Macaca mulatta: one gene and its partners. The protein of the gene in region 1 purifies or fractionates together with the protein of each later gene. This does not show direct contact. Links are inferred from orthologs where the notes say so. Each region holds a gene or a part of one and is shown in the gene's direction. Other genes may lie near its edges.

Region 1 (4,391 bases):
AGTGAGCCACCGCGGCCAGCCTGTTTTCTTGTCATTTGTTTTAAAATAAGAAAAAAATTCCTCTTTTTCCTGTCCCTTAAGTCCTGGGATGTTTAACCTTCTAAATCTTATTTGGCACTTTAATTTTACAAAAGAGATATGTGTTGTAAATAGAGTAGGGAGCAAAGAGGATAGTGGTAGTCTCCTTAACACAAAGCTATATAAAAGTGGTCACCTGGGCTCATCACGTCCCCTGTATCTGATTCTCACTATTGCAGGTTATGAAAACGCATCTAGCTAGTACACCTAGAGTTGCACTGTTAGAAACAGTAGCTCCTAGGCAGATGTAGCAATTTAAATTTATTAGAATTATTCAATTTATTCATATTGGCCACATTTTAAGTGCTCAGTAGGTATATGGTTACTATATTGGACAGCACAGATAGTAGAACTTTTCACCATTAACGAAGGTTCTTTTTTGTTGTTGTTGTTGAGACAGAGTCTCGCTTTTGTTGCCCAGACTGGAGTGCAGTGGCCGGATCTCAGCTCACTGCAAGCTCCGCCTCCCGGGTTCACGCCATTCTCCTGCCTCAGCCTCCCGAGTAGCTGGGACTACAGACGCCCGCCACCTCGCCCGGCTAGGTTTTTTTAAAAATATTTTTTAGTAGAGACGGGGTTTCACCATGTTAGCCAGGATGGTCTCGATCTCCTGACCTCATGATCCGCCCGTCTCGGCCTCCCGAAGTGCTGGGATTACAGGCTTGAGCCACCGCGCCCGGCCCATTAACGAAGGTTCTATTGGACACTGCTGACCTAGAGGCAGTTAGCCTTGGGGATACTGACTCCTGCGTAGGAACATCTACAGAGAGAAAAATAATATCGAATATTGTGTGTCAGTTTTATGCTAAATTTTTTCAAATGCCTTTTGTGTTGTACAAACAACACAGTCTTTGAGGGGGATGAAGGAAGAGGGTCTCATGTCCTGATGTTGACGTGATTAGCACGCCTTGAGCTGGTTTGTTACTAGAGGTTAGGCACTGTGGGGAAGGCAGGGAAGGCTGTCTTTCCAATTGGGTGGTTCCCAGCTCAGGCCCTGCCTATCCCCAGAAGCCACCTTTCGAGGCAAAATGGGAAATAATTAGGTTGCTGAGTATCAGGCGTTGAGCATGGAAATACAGGAACCCGAATGTTCAGGATTATTATGAGTAAGCGTCGTGGCCTCTATTCTGTGTCCACCGCACATTGCAGTTTGTGTCTTATCCTGGTTTCTCTAATGGATTATCTTCAAAGACGATCATTATCTCAAGGTGGAGGTCACTAAGTTGCTGATGTGTCTTACCCACGCGGGGTTTTGAAGCTGGAGCACACCCCGAGTGGCTGCGTAGGGTACGCTTGGCGTTTCACACCCAGCTAGTCGTCCAGGCTTGGGATCTGCACCAAAATCAGTCCCCAAGATTGTTTCAGATTTCGCGCTGGCAGGCAGGGGCGGGCTCCGCGAGGCCGCACGCCCCACCCCCTGCGCCGCCCCGCCTCCGCTTCCTCGTGACACCCCGGCGCCCCGCCCTCTTGGCCGGGACCCTCCCCAGGCTGATTGGCCCCTAGGCGGCGGATCCTCGGGCTGGCGGCCGACAGGCGCGCGTCACGTGGCCCACGGCGTCCAGGGCGCCGAGCCGCGGGCAGCCGGGCATGGACCCTCAGGCCGCCAGGGCCCAGGCACGGCGGGCCGCGGAGCCGTCTCGGGGCCCGCCGCTGCCTAGCGCGCAGGAGGCGCCCCCCAGCCCGGAGGTAAGCGCCGCGTGGGGGCCGGGAGCAACAACCAGCCGCATCCTGGGGCGGGAAGTCGCGGGGCCGGGCTGGGCGGGGGCCGCGGGGCCGGGGAAGCGCCTCTGGCCGGCCTCGGGCCGCCCCGCGACCTGGAGCGCTGTTTGGCCTCGCGCTCGAGCTCAAAACTGCCAGGCCGAGGGGCCGCGGGGCTGCGGGGCTGCGGGGCGGGGAACGCCGAGGGCGTGGGTGGGCGCGCCGGGTCAGTGGGGAAGGCCGTCCGCTCGCTGGGCGCCGCTGCGAATTTGGTAAATGGGAGGTGACGCTGGTGACCGAGAGCCGGGGCCCGCTGCCAGAAGCCTGGGCGAGGGCCAGGTGAGAGCGGCGAGGAGAGGGACTTGACTTAACAGACCTGTGGACCTCTGTGCGTTGGTGGGGATGCCCGCTAACCCTGAACCCCAGATGATGTCACATGCGCACTCCCCCTTCTTATTGAAACCAAAAAGGCCCTGTTTGGACGCAGGGTTTCCAGAAACTTGTTTTCATGTACGCTAAACAGCACCCGGTTTTCTCGAGAACGTTACAGACCGTTATTACAGTCATTACCTGCCCTTGTTTACTGTCAGTACCGGCTAGGTGCTGAGGTAGGAACCCTCTGTTAGGGCTGTTTGCCCAGCCTAGCATAGTGCCTGGCACAGGAGATAGACATGCTGACTGGATGAATGATGCCTCAAAGATGGTACTTAGCCAAAGTAAGATATGAAAAATGCAGCGACACTTATACAGAAAATTACTTTGTGGTGCAGAATAGAATGGGACTAATTTTGTCTGGGCATAGCAGGAAAGGATCAAGGTGAGAGGCTGGTGGTGTCTGCAGAGGCGTGGAGATGAGAAAGTGTAGGGCACATGACCTGGAGTTGGGTCTCAGAGCATGCAGAGAACTATGCTCAACAGGTTGATGGGAGTTGGGGACGTGGGGACGTGCGAATGCCATGGCTAATTTTGCGCTCCCTCAGTGGAGGGCTGTTGAAGATTTAGAGCAGAGTAGTGATTAATTCTGTAAGGCTGGGCCAGATGGCTGGATGGGAAGGTGGTTAGGAGGCTGTGGCAGTGGTTTAGGCGAGAGGTCTGAATTCTCCTTGGGCGGCAGTGATCAGAAGTTGTCACTAAAGGGAGTGGAATTGAATTATTAAACCCAGACATAACTAGATAATGAATGCTGATTGGAGCAGGTGCCAAGTGCAGTTTAGATGTAGCAGAAAAGATGAATTTAAATTCAAGAAATGTTACATTCTTGCCACATGGCAGGTGTTTTCATAAATGGTATCTCATCATAAGTCCCCTGCAGGGTCAGAACAGTCACCCCCAATTTCTGGAGAAGAAAACTCAGGCACGGTAATTGAAGTGATGTGTTCAAGGTCACAGTCTAAATGGATGGTAGAGCTGGGATCAAAATCAAGTCTTTTTATGCAGGCAGGGAAGATTTCGTGATTCATTAGAAAGAGGTCTTGGAGGTCATAGGGTTTCAGGAACTTCTGAGTGATAGGAGCAGAGAAGCATTTGGTTGGCCGTGCGGGAAGATTTTCAGTTAGATTAGAAATACTGCCTTCAGGCCGGGCGCGGTGGCTCAAGCCTGTAATCCCAGCACTTTGGGAGGCCGAGACGGGCGGATCATGAGGTCAGGAGATCGAGACCATCCTGGCTAACACGGTGAAACCCCATCTCTACTAAAAAAAATACAAAAAACTAGCCGGGCGAGGTGGCGGGCGCCTGTAGTCCCAGCTACTCGGGAGGCTGAGGCAGGAGAATGGCGTAAACCCGGGAGGCGGAGCTTGCAGTGAGCTGAGATCCGGCCACTGCACTCCAGCCTGGGCGCAAAGCGAGACTCCGTCTCAAAAAAAAAAAAAAAAAAAAAAAAGAAATACTGCCTTCAGTGCTCAGCATTGCAGAGGAGCTATAAAGCTTCCCCCACCTCAATGTGTCGGTGAGGAAACAGAATTCGATAGAGTTGTTTGCTAACTATAAAGCTGTTAAGTAACTGAAAAGGTAAAACGTATACCTGGGGGTGGCAACCGCAGGGAAGAGCTACCAACCTATGGCTGGAGGAACAAAGAGATGAAGTTGATTAAAATTTAAAAGCTTAGAGGAAAGGCTCTGTAGAGCTGAAATTCCAACCTTTAAGGAGGAGGCACTGCCTCAGCTGATGTAGGGGGTCTCTGAGCTTGGAGGAGAGTCCTGGGATCCAGACCTCTAAAGAGAAGGTGCAGGGATAAGGCTGGCTCTGCAAGAGTTCGCAGAACTGTATACTGGATTCTGTGGCCGCTATAGGAAGGCATTCCTGCTGCCATGGTGAAGTGTCATAAGGTGATGCCAACGTGAATAGGAAGGAATAGTCCGTCTCCTTCCAGCCTTGCGCAGTTTAACAGGGCAAAGCAGAAATGTGGGTGGCAGAGTCCCAGCCCTGCGTCACCAAGGGGAGTATGGAAGAATGGGTGGGGTTGAGGTGCAATAGCTGAATACTGGGCATACCCCAGATACCCAAGTCCTTGGTAATCGTTTCTTCTTCCTGCAGGCTGGCTTTGCTACAGCTGACCACTCCAGTCAGGAGACGGAGACTGAGAAGGCTATGGATCGACTAGGCAAGTAGATGG
Region 2 (3,648 bases), on another chromosome or scaffold:
GTAGAGCTGAAGTTAGAACTCATTATGATCCACCACGAAAGCTTATGGCCATGCAGCGGCCAGGTCCCTATGACAGACCTGGGGCTGGCAGAGGGTATAACAGCATTGGCAGAGGAGCTGGCTTTGAGAGGATGAGGCGCGGTGCTTACGGTGGAGGTACGTGAGGATTCCCAGGGTTTGGCAAGTAGTCTGTTCCTTTGTTTAGGTGTTTTGTTTGATGGATTGTACTTTGTCTTTCAGGCTATGGAGGCTATGACGATTACAATGGCTATAATGATGGCTATGGATTTGGGTCAGATAGATTTGGAAGAGGTAAGGTAAGAATTGAATTTCTCAGTTGAAGGATGCTTACACTCTTGTCCATCTAGACCTCAATTACTGTTTTTCAGGAATGTCTGATCACAGATACGGGGATGGTGGCTCTACTTTCCAGAGCACAACAGGACACTGTGTACACATGCGTGGATTACCTTACAGAGCTACTGAGAATGACATTTATAATGTAAGTGTAGGATGAACTCACAAGTCTTATTTCAGTATGGCAGTAAAAGTCTGAGCCTTACTCTATAAATGTGAGCACTGTGTTAGAAATTGTAGTTTTATTTTGTAACATTAGAAAGTTGATTTAATTCTTTGAAATGCCTTGTGTTGTAGTTTTTTTCACCACTCAATCCTGTGAGAGTACACATTGAAATTGGTCCTGATGGCAGAGTAACTGGTGAAGCAGATGTCGAGTTTGCAACTCATGAAGATGCCGTGGCAGCTATGTCAAAAGACAAAGCAAATATGCGTAAGTGTGATTGAGCGTTTGTGGGCTCTTAACAGGTGATTGTGTGACTAACATTTACAATAGAGAAATGGAAAAATAAGGATATATGAGAAGTTTCCTCTCCAGTAATAGATTAATTCTTGGGGGATGGGGGGCAGTGGGTTGAAGAAGGTTTGGGTTTTAAAAATTAGTCTAACGGATTTGTGATACGCACATCTTGAAGTTTATATCCTTAATTGACAACATAGATGAATATGTAAAGGCTAGATATTAGAGTTAAAGTAGATCACCTAAGAGAAGTAGCTAGAATTTTCTTTGCCAAGGTATTTGAAGTTCACAGATCTGCTCGTTTAAAAACTTTATAAAAGTGCTTATCCTGTTGTGTTTCACCAACAAACATTTTCAAACTTTTTTTTTCTCATTTCAGAACACAGATATGTAGAACTCTTCTTGAATTCTACAGCAGGAGCAAGCGGTGGTGCTTACGGTAGCCAAATGCTAGGAGGCATGGGTTTGTGTAAATATCACTTTAGTGTCTTTTTTTTAAGCTAACCTTGTATGCCTTTTCTCTCATTTCAGAACACAGATATGTAGAACTCTTCTTGAATTCTACAGCAGGAGCAAGCGGTGGTGCTTATGGTAGCCAAATGATGGGAGGCATGGGCTTGTGTAAATATCGTTAGTTTTTTTAAAAACCAAAACGTTTATATCTGTATAAGTCAATTATAAGTTGTTAATCTATTTAATAAGTTTAGCATAACAAACTTAGGCAAAGAAAGCAGTTTCTTGATATTTGAATTTTGTATCTGGCTTACTTAAATCTTTGTTATGAAGTTCCTTAGGATAGATAATTCAAATTAGATTTAAGTACTCTTGGGGGAGGGGACTACGGAGTGAAACTACTTAAATTTTCTGAGTATAAAGTTTAAATAGCAAAATAGGATTAAGATAAATGTGGGCATAATTAGGTGTATTGACGTGCCTTTGATATATCTAAGGGGGAACCCCACTAAATCTAGTCAGGCAGTTTCATAAGATCTTCACAAAATGCCTCTACTTAGGGAATCTTGTGGGTTTTAGTCCTGCTGATGTATATACCGTTAGCACTTTGGTTTATAAATATTTGAGTAGCTCAAATGATGGATAGAAGGGTAGCCCGGTTATAGACAGTAGGCAGAAGGAGGCAGAGGGTTATAGTAATATAAGATCAAGACTGGAAAATATAGATATAGAATTACAAGCCCGGTACCACCAGGTACCACATTATGTAAGGAACAAGGTTCTAAAGTTTTCTTAACTTAACAGCAAACCAGTCCAGTTACGGTGGCCCAGCCAGCCAGCAGCTGAGTGGAGGTTACGGAGGCGGCTATGGTGGCCAGAGCAGCATGAGTGGATACGGTAAGCCTGTTTTTTTAAATATACTTAGAATTAAGTTTTAGGCAGGTTTCTTTAGTTGGGAAGGTGCAGGCTCCTTTTTGGTGAAATTGGGTTATTAAATGTATGCTTTCAATCCAAATGTAACTTTTTACTAGCTTAATTTTCAGAAACAATCATTGGGAGGGGGAAGTGTTCTGTGAATAAAAAACTAGTCATTGCAACTTTGGAATACTGTCGAGCCAGAAAATATCTGCCTCCATTTATTAAAACATTAAATAAAGTTGTTCGCTTTTTTATCTTTTGGTTAGCAGTACATCAATTTTAGATGGAGGGAGAATTTGGAATAGTAGAATGGTGGTTGGGTTCAGGACCGTATTTATTAGTTAACCTAGGATTGGTTTTATTTATTTTTTTTCAATTGGTCTAAAGAATGGTGATTTTGGTATTATAGTCTTACCCTACAAAATCCTTTTGCAGACCAAGTTTTACAGGAAAACTCCAGTGATTTTCAATCAAACATTGCATAGGTAAATATTTTCTCAAAAAATATAATTTAAATTCCCAATAGCAAATACTGATATGTTGTAATAATACTTTCTATAGCAGTCAATGGCTCTGACTTAACTCCATGGAGGCTGCCATTTGGGCACAGTGAGTTGCCTTTAGTCCACCTTGGTTGTCTCACTTCCTGCCCACCGTGAATAGGAAAAGCAAGAGACTTCCCCTGTGCTCCCTTTTCTCAAATGCCATTCGAGGGACACATTGTGAATGTTTATGGTAAATTTTTTTAAAAAATGCCTTGTTTAGCTTTAAAAATACGAAGTAATTTTGCAATTTTTGAAAAACACTAGTTTTCCTTTAAACTTAATTTTTCATGTTGATCCTGAAGAATCCGTTAAAATGGTAGCACAAGAGTCTGGCAAGTTGGTACTGCAGAGAAAAGGGGTTAATTGAGGCTTGTTTGGAGTCGGGATTCCCCTTTCCCAAACATGCGTCTCGCCACTTGGACAGCAGCCATTTGTACTCGTATACTTTTTAAACTTTTTCTTGGAATACTATATTTTATTTGACTGGTAGTCTGACATTACTCCTAACTTGTCAAATTGATCTCTTTGCAGGTAACCAAGGAGCAATGAACAGCAGCTACTACAGTAGTGGAAGCCGTGCATCTATGGGCGTGAACGGAATGGGAGGGATGTCTAGCATGTCCAGTATGAGTGGTGGATGGGGAATGTAATTGATCTGTCCTGATCACTGACTCTTGGTCAACCTTTTTTTTTTTTTTTTTTTTTTTAAGAAAAAAAAACTTCAGTTTAACAGTTTCTGCAATACAAGCTTGTGATTTATGCTTACTCTAAGTGGAAATCAGGATTGTTATGAAGACTTAAGGCCCAGTATTTTTGAATACAATACTCAATCTAGGATGTAACAGTGAAGCTGAGTAAACTATAACTGTTAAACTTAAGTTCCAGCTTTTCTCAAGTTAGTTATAGGATGTACTT
Region 3 (3,084 bases), on another chromosome or scaffold:
GGGGTGATGCCAAGGTAGTTTTAGTGTAGCTTTGGAGAACATGATTATTTTCCCAGTGGATTTGATTTTTGATTGATGGATCTAGCTCCTATATTCTGGGCATGGCTATAAGTCAGTGAGCCACAAAGCAAGTGGATTGCTATACAGCGAATTCTTTTCTACTGTGGGTAGGTGTAGAGCTATCGTGGTCATGAGGCTGTGTGTATGGTGACGTAGTTTGTGGTTAAAATAATAACTGCTTCATTCATTAACTTAATTTTCACAATCATCCAGTGACGACTTATCCCTGCTTTGCAAAAGAGATAACTGATGCTCAGAATGGTTAACTTTTCCAAGCTTAAGGAACTAGGATTCAAATCTTTGGCACCAAAGTCCATGCTCTTAATTACCATGACATGTCCCTTCTCTTCTACAGGTGATGAGAATGGGACAGTCTCCCTTGTGGATACCAAGAGTACAAGCTGTGTCCTGAGCTCAGCTGTACATTCCCAGTGTGTCACTGGGCTGGTGTTCTCCCCACACAGGTACTGTTCTTTGTCATCAGGGGCCTGATGGGTATAAATGGGAACAGTGGGGGGGTGTGTGTATGTTTTCAAAGCATTAGCTCATTAAGTAGTTCCTTAAAGCAGACAGTGTTCTAACTGAGGTTTTGGAACATCAGAGATCTCTTAAGTGGGAAGTGGAATCCTTTGGGAATCAAAGGATTTTTCAGATTATACGGTTTCTGTCTGAAATGGCTAAAATGTGGTCTCATTCCTGCTCAACACCCAACATGGTTCATATTGTGGGTTTCTGGGACTGTGAGGTTGGAAAAGCCTGTGTTTCTGGGTTATTGCTGAAGCTATAGAGAGGGACCAGATGGGGCGGTTAGTTACCAGGATGGTTGTCAACCCTAACTTTGCTTCATTTCCTTCATCTTTACTTGAAACTTTTAGTGTCAACTTAGAGTAGCCAGACCTTAGCCAAAAGTGGGAATCAGGCTGCCTTTTCTGGGTCACTTTACAGTAGCGGTGGCGCCAGCTCAGTTAAGGTTTTGTCTTGGGGCCGGGCGCGGTGGCTCACGCCTGTAATCCCAGCACTTTGGGAGGCCGAGGCGGGCGGATCACAAGGTCAGGAGATCGAGACCACGGTGAAACCCCGTCTCTACTAAAAATACAAAAAATTAGCCGGGCGCAGTTGTGGGCGCCTGTAGTCCCAGCTACTCGGGAGGCTGAGGCAGGAGAATGGCGTGAACCCGGGAGGCGGAGCTTGCAGTGAGCCGAGATCGCGCCACTGCACTCCAGCCTGGGCGACAGAGCGAGACTCCGTCTCAAAAAAAAAAAAAAAAAAAAAAGGTTTTGTCTTGGGATCCAGGCTTTGCCTTTCACAACCCTCTCCTCCCTCTGATAGTGTTCCCTTCCTGGCCTCTCTCAGTGAAGACTGCTCACTTGCTGTGCTGGACTCAAGCCTTTCTGAGGTGTAAGTGTGAAGTGGAATCCTTTGGGAATCAGGGAAGGGGAGCAGTGGGTGGGTGAGTCGTTTTCCTCTTCAGAAAAGTGTATTGTGCTTTTGGAGAACAGATTCTCCGTCTGTATCTGAAGGGACTTGGTAATGGAAGCAGGCTGGCTGTTGACCCTCTCCGTTCATGGGGCACATTCACAACCCCAAGGACAAAGCTGTGTCCTTGGTAGAGCGGGGTGGTAGGTGGAATTTTTAAGTCTAGCACTCCAGCCCTCTCCCACAAGGGGGCGGCAGTATATCCTTTCACATAGAGAACTGCATATGAAATGCAGTCTGCTACAGGGTAAAAGGCAGCACTTGGAAGACCTGAATTGTACTTCCCTCCTTGCCATGATTTGCTGCCTGTTACTGCCCCACATCACTGTCTTGTTCTATCCAGCATTTCTTCATCTATGAAAATAGAGGACTGGATTGGATGATTGATGACATCCACTGTGGATAGCTACACTGCTATCCTGGCGACGAGGCCATACAGTTGGTGAAATGTGTGTAACACACCCAAAAAATATGCCCCAGATGTGTTGGGTTCTCTTTTTTCTCCAGGTCTGCTTTTCTTGTCTCTACTATGCCCTGACTTTTTTTCTTCTAGGTTTAGAAGCCGAGCCCACAGAGACTTTGTGAGAGATGCAACTTGGTCCCCGCTCAATCACTCCCTGCTTACCACAGTGGGCTGGGACCATCAGGTCGTCCACCACATCGTGCCCACAGAACCTCTCCCAGCCCCTGGACCTGCGAGTGTTACTGAGTAGATTGGATTTAAGACACAAAGCAAGTCCCCCATGAGCGTCCACTTCTTTGCCCTACCCTCTCAGCTTGTGAGACAACACAGGAGCCTTCTGTAGTATGTTGATATGCTAGATCTGTGCCATTAAAAGGCATCATCCCTCAGCCTGAGGGAGGCTGAATTCTGGGTTCCTGTAGTCACAGGGAGGAAAAGCTTTCTTAAAAATGGACATGTATGTGCGTGTGACTGTGTGTGTAGATTTATAGTTTTTGGTAGTGGCAGGAATAAAACAATCCATCCTACATATTCCCTAAGCACTGCCTCTCCCTCACCCCCCAAAACAAGTTGATGAGAGGGTTTTATTCTTCCCATGTAGCTGTCTATGAGGAATTGGCTGTGTCTGGGTGGGTTATGGGATGTGGGCATCCCTGGGTTCTTGGAAGCAGCTCTTATGCTACTTATAGAGATGGGATTGATTTTATTTTTTTAAAGTGCTTAATTCACCATTACGAGAAATGCTTCCAGTCACAAAAATGCAGCCCAGCTCACTTTGAGGAAGAAGCAGGACTTGGTACGGATTTACATAACTCTTTGCCTTTAAACTGAATCAGAAATCCATTTTCTGGCTGAATAAAAAGTTTGGCTTGCCTTTATAATGCCCACTCCCTTCTCCCCGGCTCCCCAGTGATGGGGCATATATGAGAGAGGAGTGTTTTTCTATCATAGATGCCATAGGGGAAAGTTTGGGGATGAAGGAGAGCTTAAAGGCATTTCAGTTAAGTTAGAAAACTGACACAGACTGTTGAGAAATCTTTGCTACTTTTCCCACCCCAAACAGCCTGGGTCCTGACATCTTCTGC

Evidence for each region.
Region 2: the proteins of COPRS (region 1) and HNRNPH1 purify together in Homo sapiens (co-immunoprecipitation; 3 studies listed by BioGRID and IntAct, with this or other methods). This does not show direct contact. The link is inferred for Macaca mulatta from reciprocal best matches to the Homo sapiens genes COPRS and HNRNPH1.
Region 3: the proteins of COPRS (region 1) and WDR77 purify together in Homo sapiens (affinity purification with mass spectrometry; 3 studies listed by BioGRID and IntAct, with this or other methods). This does not show direct contact. The link is inferred for Macaca mulatta from reciprocal best matches to the Homo sapiens genes COPRS and WDR77.

The regions. Positions count from the first base shown.
Region 1 is NC_133421.1:41,273,027-41,277,417, reverse strand, and holds the start of COPRS (coordinator of PRMT5 and differentiation stimulator), read left to right. Parts: upstream 1-1,568; 5' UTR 1,569-1,665; coding exon 1,666-1,764; intron 1,765-1,902; exon of another isoform or gene 1,903-2,052; coding exon of another isoform or gene 2,053-2,115; intron 2,116-4,312; coding exon 4,313-4,379; intron 4,380-4,391. UniProt on the Homo sapiens protein: Histone-binding protein required for histone H4 methyltransferase activity of PRMT5.
Region 2 is NC_133411.1:188,575,103-188,578,750, reverse strand, and holds part of HNRNPH1 (heterogeneous nuclear ribonucleoprotein H), read left to right. Parts: coding exon 1-156; intron 157-240; coding exon 241-312; intron 313-368; coding exon 369-502; intron 503-654; coding exon 655-790; intron 791-1,196; coding exon 1,197-1,256; coding exon of another isoform or gene 1,257-1,286; intron 1,287-1,348; coding exon 1,349-1,438; intron 1,439-2,074; coding exon 2,075-2,167; intron 2,168-2,623; coding exon of another isoform or gene 2,624-2,673; intron 2,674-3,264; coding exon 3,265-3,383; 3' UTR 3,384-3,648. UniProt on the Homo sapiens protein: This protein is a component of the heterogeneous nuclear ribonucleoprotein (hnRNP) complexes which provide the substrate for the processing events that pre-mRNAs undergo before becoming functional, translatable mRNAs in the cytoplasm.
Region 3 is NC_133406.1:128,804,671-128,807,754, forward strand, and holds the end of WDR77 (methylosome protein WDR77), read left to right. Parts: intron 1-415; coding exon 416-524; intron 525-1,389; coding exon 1,390-1,458; intron 1,459-2,089; coding exon 2,090-2,249; coding exon of another isoform or gene 2,250-2,283; 3' UTR 2,284-2,459; downstream 2,460-3,084. UniProt on the Homo sapiens protein: Non-catalytic component of the methylosome complex, composed of PRMT5, WDR77 and CLNS1A, which modifies specific arginines to dimethylarginines in several spliceosomal Sm proteins and histones.